3 linked regions of the Drosophila melanogaster genome follow. The protein of the gene in region 1 interacts with the protein of each later gene in a pairwise test. Each region holds a gene or a part of one and is shown in the gene's direction. Other genes may lie near its edges.

Region 1 (4,881 bases):
AACCTGATTGGTACCTTCCGCTCGGGAGTGATGAGCTTCAATAAGATGGCCGATCCCAAGGAGGAGCCCACACTGGCGGAAATGACGCGCAAAGCAATCGAGGTGGTCAGCAAACGCGATGGTGGCTACTTTCTGTTCGTCGAGGGTGGACTCATCGATTATGGCAACCACTTCAACTCCCCAACCTATTCGCTCTCAGAGACGCTTCAGTTCGAGCAGGCTGTTCAGGAGGCTCTGGATATAACCGATCCCGAAGAGACCCTGATTGTAGTCACCTCCGATCACGCCCATCCATTGACCATCTCTGGTTATCCTGGCAGAGGAACCCCCATTTTGGGTCTCAATCAGGATGACACCGATGTGAATGGAGTTAAGTACGCCACTCTCAACTATGCAGTGGGAACCAATCAGTATCTGGATGAGCACGGCCAGCGCATCGATCTTACGGATCAAATTGGAGCGGAAGGTAAGTGAATTCTACTTTTGGGCGCCTTGATAAGTGATAAGCGAACCAATCTGCTTTCCTTCTAGACTTCATCCACCCCAGCTACATCCACGGCACTATTGGCGTTCATGCTGGCGATGATGTGGGAATCTTCGCTACTGGTCCGCAAAGTCATCTCTTCACCGGCGTGATGCAGCAGAGCACCATTCCCCACCTGATGGCCTATGCCTCCTGCATTGGCAATGGACCCACTCTCTGTGACAATGAGGACTAGAATTTTAATGAATCTATAATATAGAGTATTTGGAAAGCACCCTGCTCTCACTTTGATTTGATTCTGGGGGAGCACTTTGCAGAAATCAATAATCAAATTGGCCCGACTCCCGTAATTTATTGCACGAGTCTGCCGAATTGACTTCAATTTAAAACGCATCAGCGAAAAGACAGACACTCGCAGATGCAGATACAGATACAAACAAAGATTTAGATAGATTGAGCGATCGCATCGATTTGTTGCCAGTCGATGGCTGTCACTTGTGGGGGGTAAGGAATAAATATGAATTCGCTGAATGTCAGGTTCAAGCATTGGCATTGCCGACACTTGGGGATACGCAGATACACAGATATGCCGTAGATATATAGATGCACAGATGTAGATATATTGACTCCCACACGCATCTGGAGCAGCTCCTTCACTCGCTCTGACTTTGACTTGTAATTGTTTGCTTGTTTATGGGTTTGCGCATTCAACAGAATTTATTTAAATGCGCTTGACATGAAGTGAGTCGAGATGAAGGCGCAGCTCCAGACAATTAAGCTTAATGTTTTCTCGTTTCTTACGCAATTAAGGATCGCTCTGGCCAAGGCGGTGTCCTCGATCCCCAACGACTTCAATAACTCAATTATTCGTCTGCACACACAGAAAATATTCCGATTCGTACATTGAAATATTTAAATTGCCAAAAGAGGAACATATTAAAATGTTTATTGTAGCATTTGTTTAAAGTACTAAAGTAGTGATCTTGTTAGTGAAACTTATATTTTAAAGTAAGTTCATTCCAGCTCATTTTCGCTCGTGCCTTGTCCTTGTTTCGGATTACTTTGAGTCTTTATTTTGGGAATTTTTGTTGTTTAAAAGTTCTGAAAAATTCGCTTGTTCAACGATTGCTGGCTCAGCGAAAAGTGGAAGCCAGGGGTTCGTTTACTTAGTGTTGTGGTCGTAAAACGCAAATCGCTTGTCGGCAGCAGCTTGTCGGCTTTTAAAGTCGCGTCGTTTCCCCATTCGCAGTCCTCAGATCGCAGTTCAGTTTGCAGCTCAGCTTGGTCTGCTAACTTGGCTCAGTCTCAGTTTGGGTTCCAAATCTGTCGCGTGCGGATCAGATCAGTCTTTACAGTTTATGCCCGATTTGACGCTAATTTCAGCTGACTTTTCGTCTGGCTGGCTAATAGTGCGCGAGTTTATCTTTAACGTTTGAATCTCAGTTTCGGCGATTACCAACTGAATTGTGTGTGACAGGTGAGAATTTGTGGTAGATAAACTTACAGATAAACCGAGTCCAGTTCGAATTGCAACGCAGAGCAAGTGTTGAAATTGTAATTGAATGCGTGGCTCGGCGGGAAATCAATATCAGATGGATTGTCTCCGGATTTGCGGTTAACGAACAGACATTCGAGTCGGAAAACAACAACAGGAGGATCTCGTTCTGTGAGCTATATCAGTTGGCACTTGCTAATTTGCTAATTAATCAGACTAAGCAAACAGCCCTATACCGAGATATGACCTTAAATATTTGCTCTACTTTGGCCATTTAAGCCGCGCAATCCGTTTAGATAAAGAGCTAACCCATTTAGCCCAACTATTTCCCCTTTCGCCAGCGCCAGCTGGAAATTTGGACGGCAAACACAAACATTTATCAGAAATCTGAGCAAACTTGCATTTTCCACGGGACGCACCGCTAGAAAGTCTGGAAGATGCTTGTGCCACTTTGGGCCAAGATCGGGTCTGGCCAAAAGCGCTGATGGCGGTTCGTGGGTGCACAGCAGATGGAGATGCATTCACCAGATACGGATGCTAAATCCGCCTGAGTCACGCTATTTATAACAGCAAAAAAAAAAAACAACAAAATAATGAAATCTCCACCGACACGACTGCAATCGATCATCGCAGAGGAAAGCGGTGGGCTTTTGGCACCGAATTTTTACCTAAAAACCAAATAGACAACCTGGGGATTGCGTCTTATTTTCGATGTGCAGCTGGAATTCCTCCGGCGATGTTTACTTTGGGCATTAGCTTTTGCTGCCGTCAGGCGAACATGTTATTCTAGTTCTGTGTATTTTGCTCTACTGACCGTGAACTTGAACAAATGGAAATGCAAATGCAACCCATACAAACAGGCGAATGCACTATCCTTTGGATTTGAAGTTAAGTGCCTGATTCGGTGAGACTGAAGCTAGCGTAACCCCTGAGAAGTGTCAGGTATCAGTGGGCAAAATGTGACGATTCAGCTTTATAATCATGGATATATGTATCTCTATGTAAATATGGCTGGTCTCTAAGGTTAACCAGAATTCGGGCAGGAAGCGAATTGCTCGAGCAATCTGTAACGAAACACCATCAACAATACAAACCAGAGCAGCCAAATATTCAATATTATATAGTATCGCAACTAATCCCATAAATTTGTTAGTTTTCATCTTTGAGCGGACAAAGCAAACACGCAATCCGGTCCAGTTCCGGCACCTCCCCCCACCGAAGCCCCTACAAAAACAAATAACAAAAACAAACCGAAAGCAAGCACACCTGACAAAGGTGAGTGAGCAAAAACCCAGAAACATGGCTACTGGTCTTGTCCAGGTGATGTCATATTTATCTCTGTTCGCGGGATGGCTGGCGCTTCTGGGGCTGGGGATCTTGAACTGTGTAGCATAATGGCAGCTCCGAAATGAATTCCTCCTCCCTGCCATAGTTACGATCCTAACGTCGCCGATCCAATTTGCATTTACATAATTCTCAGAGACTTTACGACTCGTTAAGTATGTGCCACAACCCTCAGGCCTATTTGATTACCTTTGTGGGATTTGCATAATCAATGATTCGAATAGCTCAGATTTGAGAGCGACGAAAATGGGGGAAGTGCTAGTGGGGGCCCACTGTAGACAGGGGGGAACGTGACGATGTCATTAGGCAAAGCGCCATTTAAATGGATTGGCCTGGGCAACAGAACACAGCTCAGCTAGAAAATCGGCAATTAAAATGTAAATTGCATCACATGCAGTTTACAATTGCTCCATCATCGTTTTGATATATGGCTCATACGCACCGTTGGCCGACTGCAGCTCGGCGGTTAAGGTTATTTGTGAATAGTGAGTAAATATGTTAAATGCACACATTTATTTATTCAATCGCAATTGACACGCTTTGGGTGTTTTGGGTCCGATCGTAGCATATTTTCGTAATTGATTCGAATCGTTATTATGGCTATTACGATTACTACAATGTGGTTATGAGTCGCCGAGGGGCTTGCATGCGATTAATGGACACCCACACCTCTCGACACTGAACTTTAACCTTTCCCAGGTGATGGAATGTACATATCGGTATTTTTATTTATTTTACCTCCTATTTTTATTCGCCATTTGACGAGAAGTACGATCTGCTGTTGTCACAGTGCTTGCCACCGCCGTCGAATTTGATTTACGGCACGTATCGACTCCCATTCAATCAGTGATTCAATGGCGCTAAATGGAAAATGCATTTAGCTATCACTTGGCTGTCAGCAGGTTGACAAATGACGTCACCGATGATTATCGTACGCTCCATTGCCAATTGCAAATACGGATCTACGTGACGTCACGGCCCACCTGCACTGCAGCGCTAGGCATTTCGGCCCGGTTGTTATTTGGCCAAGAAACATGGCCTATTTGCTTTTCCCAGTCGATATTTGTGGCCCATTAGCAGTTCACACCTTGGCAAGCGCTAAAGTGGCGCCCTGCGATCGAAAACAGGGGACCTGTTGGCACTTTCAATTATGCACGCCGTGCTAATTGAACTTGGCCAAAGTGAAACCCCAGTCCAGAAAGTGACAGCCAGTCAGATCGAAAGATAGAGCGAATAAAGCCATAATAGTTCATGAATGAGTAGTGGACGTCGCCTAAAGTGGGAATTGTTTCTCCATCAGATAGTTAATTCAAACGCCTCTAACGACAAGAAATGTTAAATACTGTCAAATTATTTATTCATATTTTTAAGCTTAGGAAGAAATATTATTATATTTTCAGTCAATTTCATTCAATTTTCTCTACTGTATTTGTTGATAAAAATGCGGCAGCTCTTTTAAGCAGAAAGGTCTTCTATTCTTTGGGTGTTTTTTTTTTTTTGGCGACAATTAATTTATGTGATATTTTGTTTAGGTACTCTTTTTTTCATCCGTTGCTTT
Region 2 (2,799 bases), 2.8 Mb from region 1:
ACACACACACACACACAGAGAGAGATAAATGCAATTCACACAACAATTTGTATGATAAACGAGAATGAGGTTTGCAGGTGTACACGCAATATCCGACACCGCCGCTTTGTCCTAAACAAGTAACTTGCAAATATCTTCTAGATGTATTAGCTTATAAAATAACTACGCAACACACCTTACTACATGATGACATGGTAAAGCAAATGAACAGATAAAAAAGGGTACAAATTCCCAGGCAACTCTAACGACAAACAAAGATTTGTTTGAAACAAAGGCAAACTTTTGTTTTTAGACACATACGTACAAGCGTGGTACATGCATAATACTTAAATGCAATATTTTTTTAGAAATGCAATAAATTCGATGACAACAACTACAATTTGATATTCTAGGCATGTGTGTGTTTTGTGAAAGCGCGTTTTATGTTTTTGTGTTCTTTTGTTTTGTTTTTAAATTCCGGGCAGCCACAATTTGCACACAAAACGAATAAATAATTATTGTATACATGCAGCAATTGTATTAGTTTTTTATATAAATAATTATATATTTTTATGTACGTAAAACTGTTTATACATACATATACATATATATATTTATAAAAACCAATAAATTATGAAGAAAACGAAAATCCAAAAATACACCACGCCCGCATTAAAACATGCGATTACTCTGAGGAAAGCAGAAACAACACAATCACTGAGAATGGTTGGAATTTTCCAAAAATTATCTCCAAGAATCAAATTTCAGCATTTCTTTTGTAAGTAGATGTGCTTGATTTGTAATCGCTTTTCCATTTATAATATTCAAATCGATGAATAACGAATACTGCAATTAACTATATACGACTGCCATAGCATGTAAAACTTTAAGGCACAACTTAAACGCATTTACATTTCAAATTAACTGACATAAAATTAAAACCCCGATGATTAATGCCAGATAAATCGAATGTTTCTGCTTTTCCTACCCAAACCCACCACCACATTGAAAACACTCTCTTTACAACATAATACTTGCATTGCTGAGCCTTAGACAAACAAACAAACAAAAAAAAAAAACGGCAAAATATAAAGTATAATTAAACTGATTATTTGCGCAACGACAGAAGCTTATTTCTAGCAACTTTTTTGCGTCATTAAGGCGAAAAAGTCTGTATAATTTTGTCCTTAGATTAACATTAGAAATATGTCAATATTCTCACTCTGTGCAAATAATAAAAAAACTTTTGAAAAAAGCAAACGAGAAGCCGAAAGTTTATTCATAAAATTTGTTTAGAGTGTAAGAAAATGCATATAAATATATATTTAAATTCGTATTATACACAAGAAAAAACACGACACACACGAAGAAGTAAACACGTAATAAATAAAAACTTGAAAATTGTACAAAATTCAAAAGTATTTGAAAAGAGGTTTTTTTTATTTGTATTTATTTTTTGAGTAGTCATTCCAAAAAATGTAACAATGGTTTTGCATTAAATGTTTATAATGTTTGAGAATTTAGCATATGATTTAAATCGAATTTGAATAGTATCCGGTTTTCATAAACGAGGGCCCACTGTTATTTATGTTTGTTTTTCACCGAAGTGGCATCTCTGATCAGCTGCATATATTATCGTTTCTTTGTTGTGTTTATATGTTGTGACTCAGTGCGAAACCGTGATAAAACCTGAGAATTGAAACGAAATTTAGTCGGTCACCAAAATTACAAGTGTCAAGATGTCCCTGGTTTCAGATGAGGAGTGGGTGGAGTACAAGGTAGGCCCAATATGTCCTAGCAAGCGACGCAATATTTAGAAATCACTTGATTCCACCATAGTCCAAGTTCGACAAGAACTACGAGGCAGAGGAGGATCTGATGCGTCGTAGAATCTACGCCGAGTCCAAAGCCCGGATTGAGGAACACAATCGGAAGTTCGAGAAGGGCGAAGTGACTTGGAAAATGGGAATTAATCATTTGGCTGATCTCACGCCTGAGGAATTTGCCCAGCGTTGTGGCAAAAAGGTGCCGCCAAATTAACAGAATCTCAAGTGAATCTCATTTTAAATAGACATTTTGTAAAGACACTAATCTCTCTGTAATTCTATAAATATGCATTTGAATTTTTAAATCTTTATCGTTCAACCACCCCCAAATAAACAATAAATCAGCTGTTTTGTACATTTTAAAGATTTTGGGATTTTTGTGTTCTGGCCACTTTGGCTGGGAGAAAAACAGTTCATTAGGTTTTGGTTCAATGAACGAAGGTTTATTTATCTCTACGATATATGCAAATAAATACGTACGGCTGAGATGGTAAAATTCCATTCCAAAAATATGTATGCTTGTACGCGGTATCTATATACATTTTGAACTTAAAGCGGATTAACGCCTTTCTGCGATGAACTAGTTCCGGTTCAGCGTTCATTGAGCGAGTCAGTGAACCGAACTGCAGTGCCGACGAGCGGCAGTTCACACACAACATTTGAAAGTTTGTAAACTTTTCCTTTTTCGATCACATAGACACATCGATACACGTAGTTATTTGTTTTTATTTTGTACCAACACCAAACACCCCATCTTACAAGCGCGTAAAACCTCGTTTTCGGTCCAATCTCTTGCAGAATCTTGCAGTAGAACCTCACAGCCCAGCCAAACATGTCCGGAATCATGCGTGTGCCATCGATTTTGGCCAAAAATGCAGTCGCCTCCATGGTAAGTAGTCCCCATTTTGGAAGTGAAAACCCAGGCTCCTCTGTGGCAAACGAAATGATTTAAGAGTGGTTATACAACCGGGTCTACACAGAACCCAGCCAGCCA
Region 3 (5,053 bases), on another chromosome or scaffold:
TTAACCAGCGCCATTTGCTTCTCTGCCGATCCTCGACATTCTTGCCATTAATTAGTTGGCATACTATTTTTGCTGTTTTCCCAAAACCAATTTTAGCCCATGAGCTAAAAGTTTTTGTCTTTTTTATTTTGTTTGCCATTTTACTTTGCATGATTGTTCACTGTTTTCTACCAAAATTTATTAGTTCGATTGAACTTTAGCTTAAAAGATATACTAAAATGCCTGCGCAAAAGGTTTTTAAATATTTTATGTTTGAAAAATGTCTTTTGCTTATACTTTCTCTGCTTTAAATATAGTAGTAGAAATATTTATTTAGTTAGTTCAAATTAAGTCTAAGGCTTGCAAAAATTAGAGAATTCCCAAATGGTTAGAAAATATATTTAAAGTAAGAATTTAAATTCACTTACGGCCAGTCGAAATTTTTGCCATTAATCATATGTTTAATATTTATTTATAACTATTTCTCCCACACAGTCACAGTCACAAAACATAGTGCAATTAATATCGAACATGTTTTACCCCAAAAATAAAGCTAATCATTTATAATTTTTTTCAATACCTCCTAACTTTTCAGGTATTTAGTTTTAAATTTTATGCTTAAGCAAGTAAGTAACTCGTAACTGCAAAATTTGAATGTAATCTCGAAAATCCATGAAAACATTGCATAACTTTGGGCTGCATCCGTGAAAAGTCATTGCCATCATCTGCACTTAACCCTTGAGTGCTCTTTTGGACTTTTCCACCCTAAATAATTTTTTTCAATTTCCCTCTGTGGGTGGCCCTTTCCCCCAAACATTTAACAAGTGGTCCTCAAGTGATTTCAATTATCTGAAATGTGAACTGGCAGTGGGTGCAGCGGGGAAATGGGGTTAAGAGGGGTTGGCTGCTTTTGTGAGCTTCGTCAAGTGGCTCATTAATCTCAATTAAAAAACATATAAATAAATCGCTCTGAGTGTGGTGAGTGAGTGAAAAGAGTTTATACTTAACGAGCTGATCATCCAGAAAGGCGAACCAAATATCTATGAGATTCTTTTCATGCCATTCGACCAGATTTTCTGACGTGCCGGCGCTGAAAGCATAATTCGATAAGTTCGAATCGTTGATAGCGAAAAATAATAACACACATCTGCAGCGCATTGATTGCCGCAACTGCTGTTGCACGCAAGAAGCGTCGGATGTTGCACGTTGAATATTGCACGAAATCCGGAGCCAAAGCCAAAGCTGCAAGACACGCATTTTGGGTGAAAAATACTTCATAAATTGGGGTATAGAGCATCATGGGTGGTGAGGGGATTTAAATGCGGGCGGTCAGTCAGTTTGCCTTGCATTAAGACACGATATCGTCTGGTTTCCTCCGCTGCTCTGGTGTTGTTATTTTGATCTTCCACTCTTCACCATGTTATTAAAGTACAAAAGCTGCACTTGAATATGTTGTGGTTTAAGGTACCTCGTCTTATATGGGGTGTATAAGACCAACGAGGAAAAGGTCTAGCCAAGGGGAAAAATCATCCACACATAAGATGTTAAGTTAGATGAATATTCAAAAGTAAATGCGAATAAATAAAGTGAGGGCATAAGAGGGTAGCAACAGTTCGCTTAAAGTTACCCTTTATCATCAGAATTACAGGGTACAAGCTCGCTTCATATCGCTTTACCTTCTCTTCGTATTGTAATTGCTGAAAAGCCGGGCGCAGGGCATTAAAAATTGAAATCATGAATTAACGACGCCGCGAATGCCAAGAGCACTTGTTTATTTATGTCGTCTCCCCTGAAGCCCCGCATCTTGCCTCTTTCTCTAGCGTCTAGCGTCTCCAGCCCTCTCTTTCACACTCTCTCATTTTCAAAATACAAGCCGGCTTTTCAAAACTGAGCTTAGCCAGTGTCAAGAGATCAAAACAAGAGAACCGCTACCTGCATGAATGAATTGAGCGAATCGGTTAAGTTTCATGGGCTGCACGCTCTTTATCTCTTTCTGATCGGCTGTCTCCCGTAGAATCTGCTCAGTCTTCGGTCTCCGGTCTTCAGTCTTCCGATCATTTAGTCAGTCTTGTTCGAAGTTCGCGGCGTTCGGTTGTTCGGCTGTTGGGAAAGCGGCGCGCGCGTTTTGATTTTCCACATCTCCACCGCTCGAATATAATGTGCGAATAAAAACATATCTATGTAAATTAAGTTAGGCAGAAAACGAGGAAGAAAACAATAAATTTGGCACTTCAAAAAAAAAGCGAAATGAAACGTAAATTAATCAGCCATAATTTACCTAGAACATTTTTGACATTCAAAAATGCTTGGCGCTAGTTTTTTTTGCGTTCACTCGTCTAAAGATGAAATCAACAATCTGTGCTAAATTTATTGTTGTTGTCGAATATTCAGTTTTGTGACGACCCTCAGAAAGCACAAACAAAATGTTTAACAAATAGAAAACGACACAGAATGCGCGAAAAAAATATTTTTCAAAAATATTCGGTGACCTGATGCATTGAAAGCTTATTTGTTTGAGTCATGTGCATATTTCAATATACTACAACAGTCCACGCCCCAGAAAATTTCAATCAACAATTTTCCATTTTTTTTTCTTTTAAATTTTTTGGACAACAACATATGGAGGCAAAGCATTTCCTCGATTGCGCTACTGTAAACTTTTATAAAGGGAACTTGTTCTTCCCAATTTTTGGTTTGCTGCTTATTTTTAGACAGCGCAAAGTACAATTAAAATAGTTTACATTACGCCAGCAACGGCGGCGACTATTAAAAATTGAGAGAAACACCAAAAATTACCTAATGGAGGCAGCTGGCTGCACACGAGCATACGCGGCGTATGCGTAATGTATTCAAAAATATCGAAAAATCCATGAAAAATGACTGACTGGCGACGACTTCTGCCAATGCAATTGGCACATGTTACAGATTTGACGAACATCCGCGCGCTTTATCTATTAGCTATAGTAGCCTGTATCTGTAGCATCGCAGTATCTGAGTATCTGGGCTAGAACAACAGTTTAGCTTCGTGGCAGAAATCGCCGCAAAAAATTACTCAATAGTTTGTTGTTTTAAAAATAAACGCGAATCGAGCATTGTCTTTGAGTTTTGGCGGGGCGGGGGGCTACCGAGGTTCTACAACGAGACTAGCACACGCATCAAAGGCAATTTTCTCAGGCTCAATATGCAAAAAGTACACACGATTCTCTCGGCTATATAGCCGTATATATAGACACTACGGAATAATAAACAGACACTAGAGCGACAGGGAGAGCGCGAGTATGAAGTCATAGTCATCGCGGCGGGCAAAAAGAATTCTCCGTTTCGAAAATCTACCGATTCGCGGAGGTTCTCAGACGATCGCCGGCGTTGATAGCGCTCGCAACGAAACGAAGGAACCGCCGAATCGAATCCCCTGGCTATAACTAATCCCAATAAATTAAATCCGAACGCGAGTGACTCAATCTAATAGTTCCACTTTTTCGAGCAGAGTTCAAAATGCAAAACACGAGACACAAGCAGGGGAAGTAAGCCAAAATACGAGAAAAACTAAACGACAGAGATTATAAAACGCCCACGCAAAACACACCAAACTACAAGCACTCACTCAATCCTCGAAAGTTAGTCAAAAAAAAAGAAAACAGAGAGAAGTAGAGACGAGCAGATAGAAAGAAAAGCAACCATGGAACGCCGCCAAGCCCTAGACTCATCGATGTCTTCGCTCTACTCGGTCGCCTCCTCCTCGAATCCCAATCCCCGCCAGCCGCACACCGGCCACCAACTTCAGACGCAGCAATCCCAGCAATCTCAGCAGTCCCAGCTAGACGCCTTCAATTATTCAGCAACAATGTCATCATCGTCGCCGACTCCAAGTCAGGCCATGTCCACAGCCATGTCCACGGGCACGGGCACCGGCACCGGCACCACCCACACCACACCACCATCCTCCTCCTCCCTGAGAGCCACCACCATTGGCACCGTTGTCGTCCGATGCGGACCCATCCAGCTGGTGATAGCGCTCCTACAAGTGAGTTGTACTCTTGTACCCCGCAAACAATAAAAATAGTAAACTAAAAAACGAAACGAATCCAAACAAAAAACACACAGCAAAAAGGCCAAGAAATGGGAAACAAACATGAAGAAACATTTATCTAGATACGGGAGAAGTGTTCGGAGAAAGCTCTTGAAGTGCGCGGAAATTTATGCGGAAGGCGATCTGGGAGGACTTCAAAAGAGATTTGGGACGGGGCATTGGGAGATCTTGAATAAATCATAAATCTAGAAGTGCAGTCAGGTTTCGAAAACACGGGGAAACATCTAGGATAAGCTGTGGTCATTGAAACATCTTATGAAAAAAGTTGCATTCGACTCAGTTTTATGTGAAGCTATAAAAATCCATAACAACCAATTAAGCCAGTCTAAATATATTAACCTTTTTTTTCAATATAAATGAGCTTATCATTTGAATGACGACATAATCTTTGTTCATTATTAATGACAGTGCAATTATATATTTACATTTTTTTCATTTTGCGTAGTGGGGCAAAAACAGTCTGAGAGATGTAAAGCAAAGAAAATAGTTCAATAGATACATTATCTCAGATTGTTATCAAATCATTTTTCAATCAATTTATCACTATAAAACAACGTTCGACTATTATTAAATGGCCCAGCCTCCAACCAAGCAAATGTTCACTACCAATCGGTCGACATTAATTGATAAATTTCTATAATTATCCCATAGCTAGCCCCTTCGGATCTGAGGCAAAACTATGTGACTTTAGCACTGAAAAATTCATGAACTTCTAATGCCCAAAACTGGCTTACAATTTTCGATTGTTTAAACCGGCTTCCAGCGATTTCCGCGCCAATTAGCACTCGAACAACGAAAGCAAAAGTTGTTGATAGCGGTTATAAATATTTGAAAAACGGCAGCAGAAAAACAAACGCCACAAAAGGTTCAAGGTTGTCTGACATCAGAGCAAAGACACAAAAGCCAACTAAACGTGACAAAAAGAAATGTATCTGCCAGATACTTTCGACAATTAGGCGCAGCTGCTACCTGTCTGGGTCCATT

Evidence for each region.
Region 2: the proteins of Swim (region 1) and cer interact in a two-hybrid assay, tested with the Drosophila melanogaster proteins (one large-scale study listed by BioGRID).
Region 3: the proteins of Swim (region 1) and zormin interact in a two-hybrid assay, tested with the Drosophila melanogaster proteins (one large-scale study listed by BioGRID).

The regions. Positions count from the first base shown.
Region 1 is NT_033778.4:22,199,570-22,204,450, reverse strand, and holds the start of Swim (secreted Wg-interacting molecule), read left to right. Parts: upstream 1-1,779; 5' UTR 1,780-1,961; exon of another isoform or gene 1,962-2,536; intron 2,537-2,647; exon of another isoform or gene 2,648-2,943; intron 2,944-4,881. Other genes in the region: Alp7 (alkaline phosphatase 7), read left to right, coding at 1-466, 532-719.
Region 2 is NT_033778.4:19,395,582-19,398,380, reverse strand, and holds cer (crammer), read left to right. Parts: upstream 1-1,608; 5' UTR 1,609-1,718; coding exon 1,719-1,757; exon of another isoform or gene 1,758-1,818; coding exon 1,819-2,019; 3' UTR 2,020-2,166; downstream 2,167-2,799. Other genes in the region: SdhA (succinate dehydrogenase, subunit A (flavoprotein)), read left to right, coding at 2,638-2,694.
Region 3 is NT_037436.4:2,148,695-2,153,747, reverse strand, and holds the start of zormin (zormin), read left to right. Parts: upstream 1-2,047; 5' UTR 2,048-2,138; intron 2,139-3,466; 5' UTR 3,467-3,658; coding exon 3,659-4,003; intron 4,004-5,053.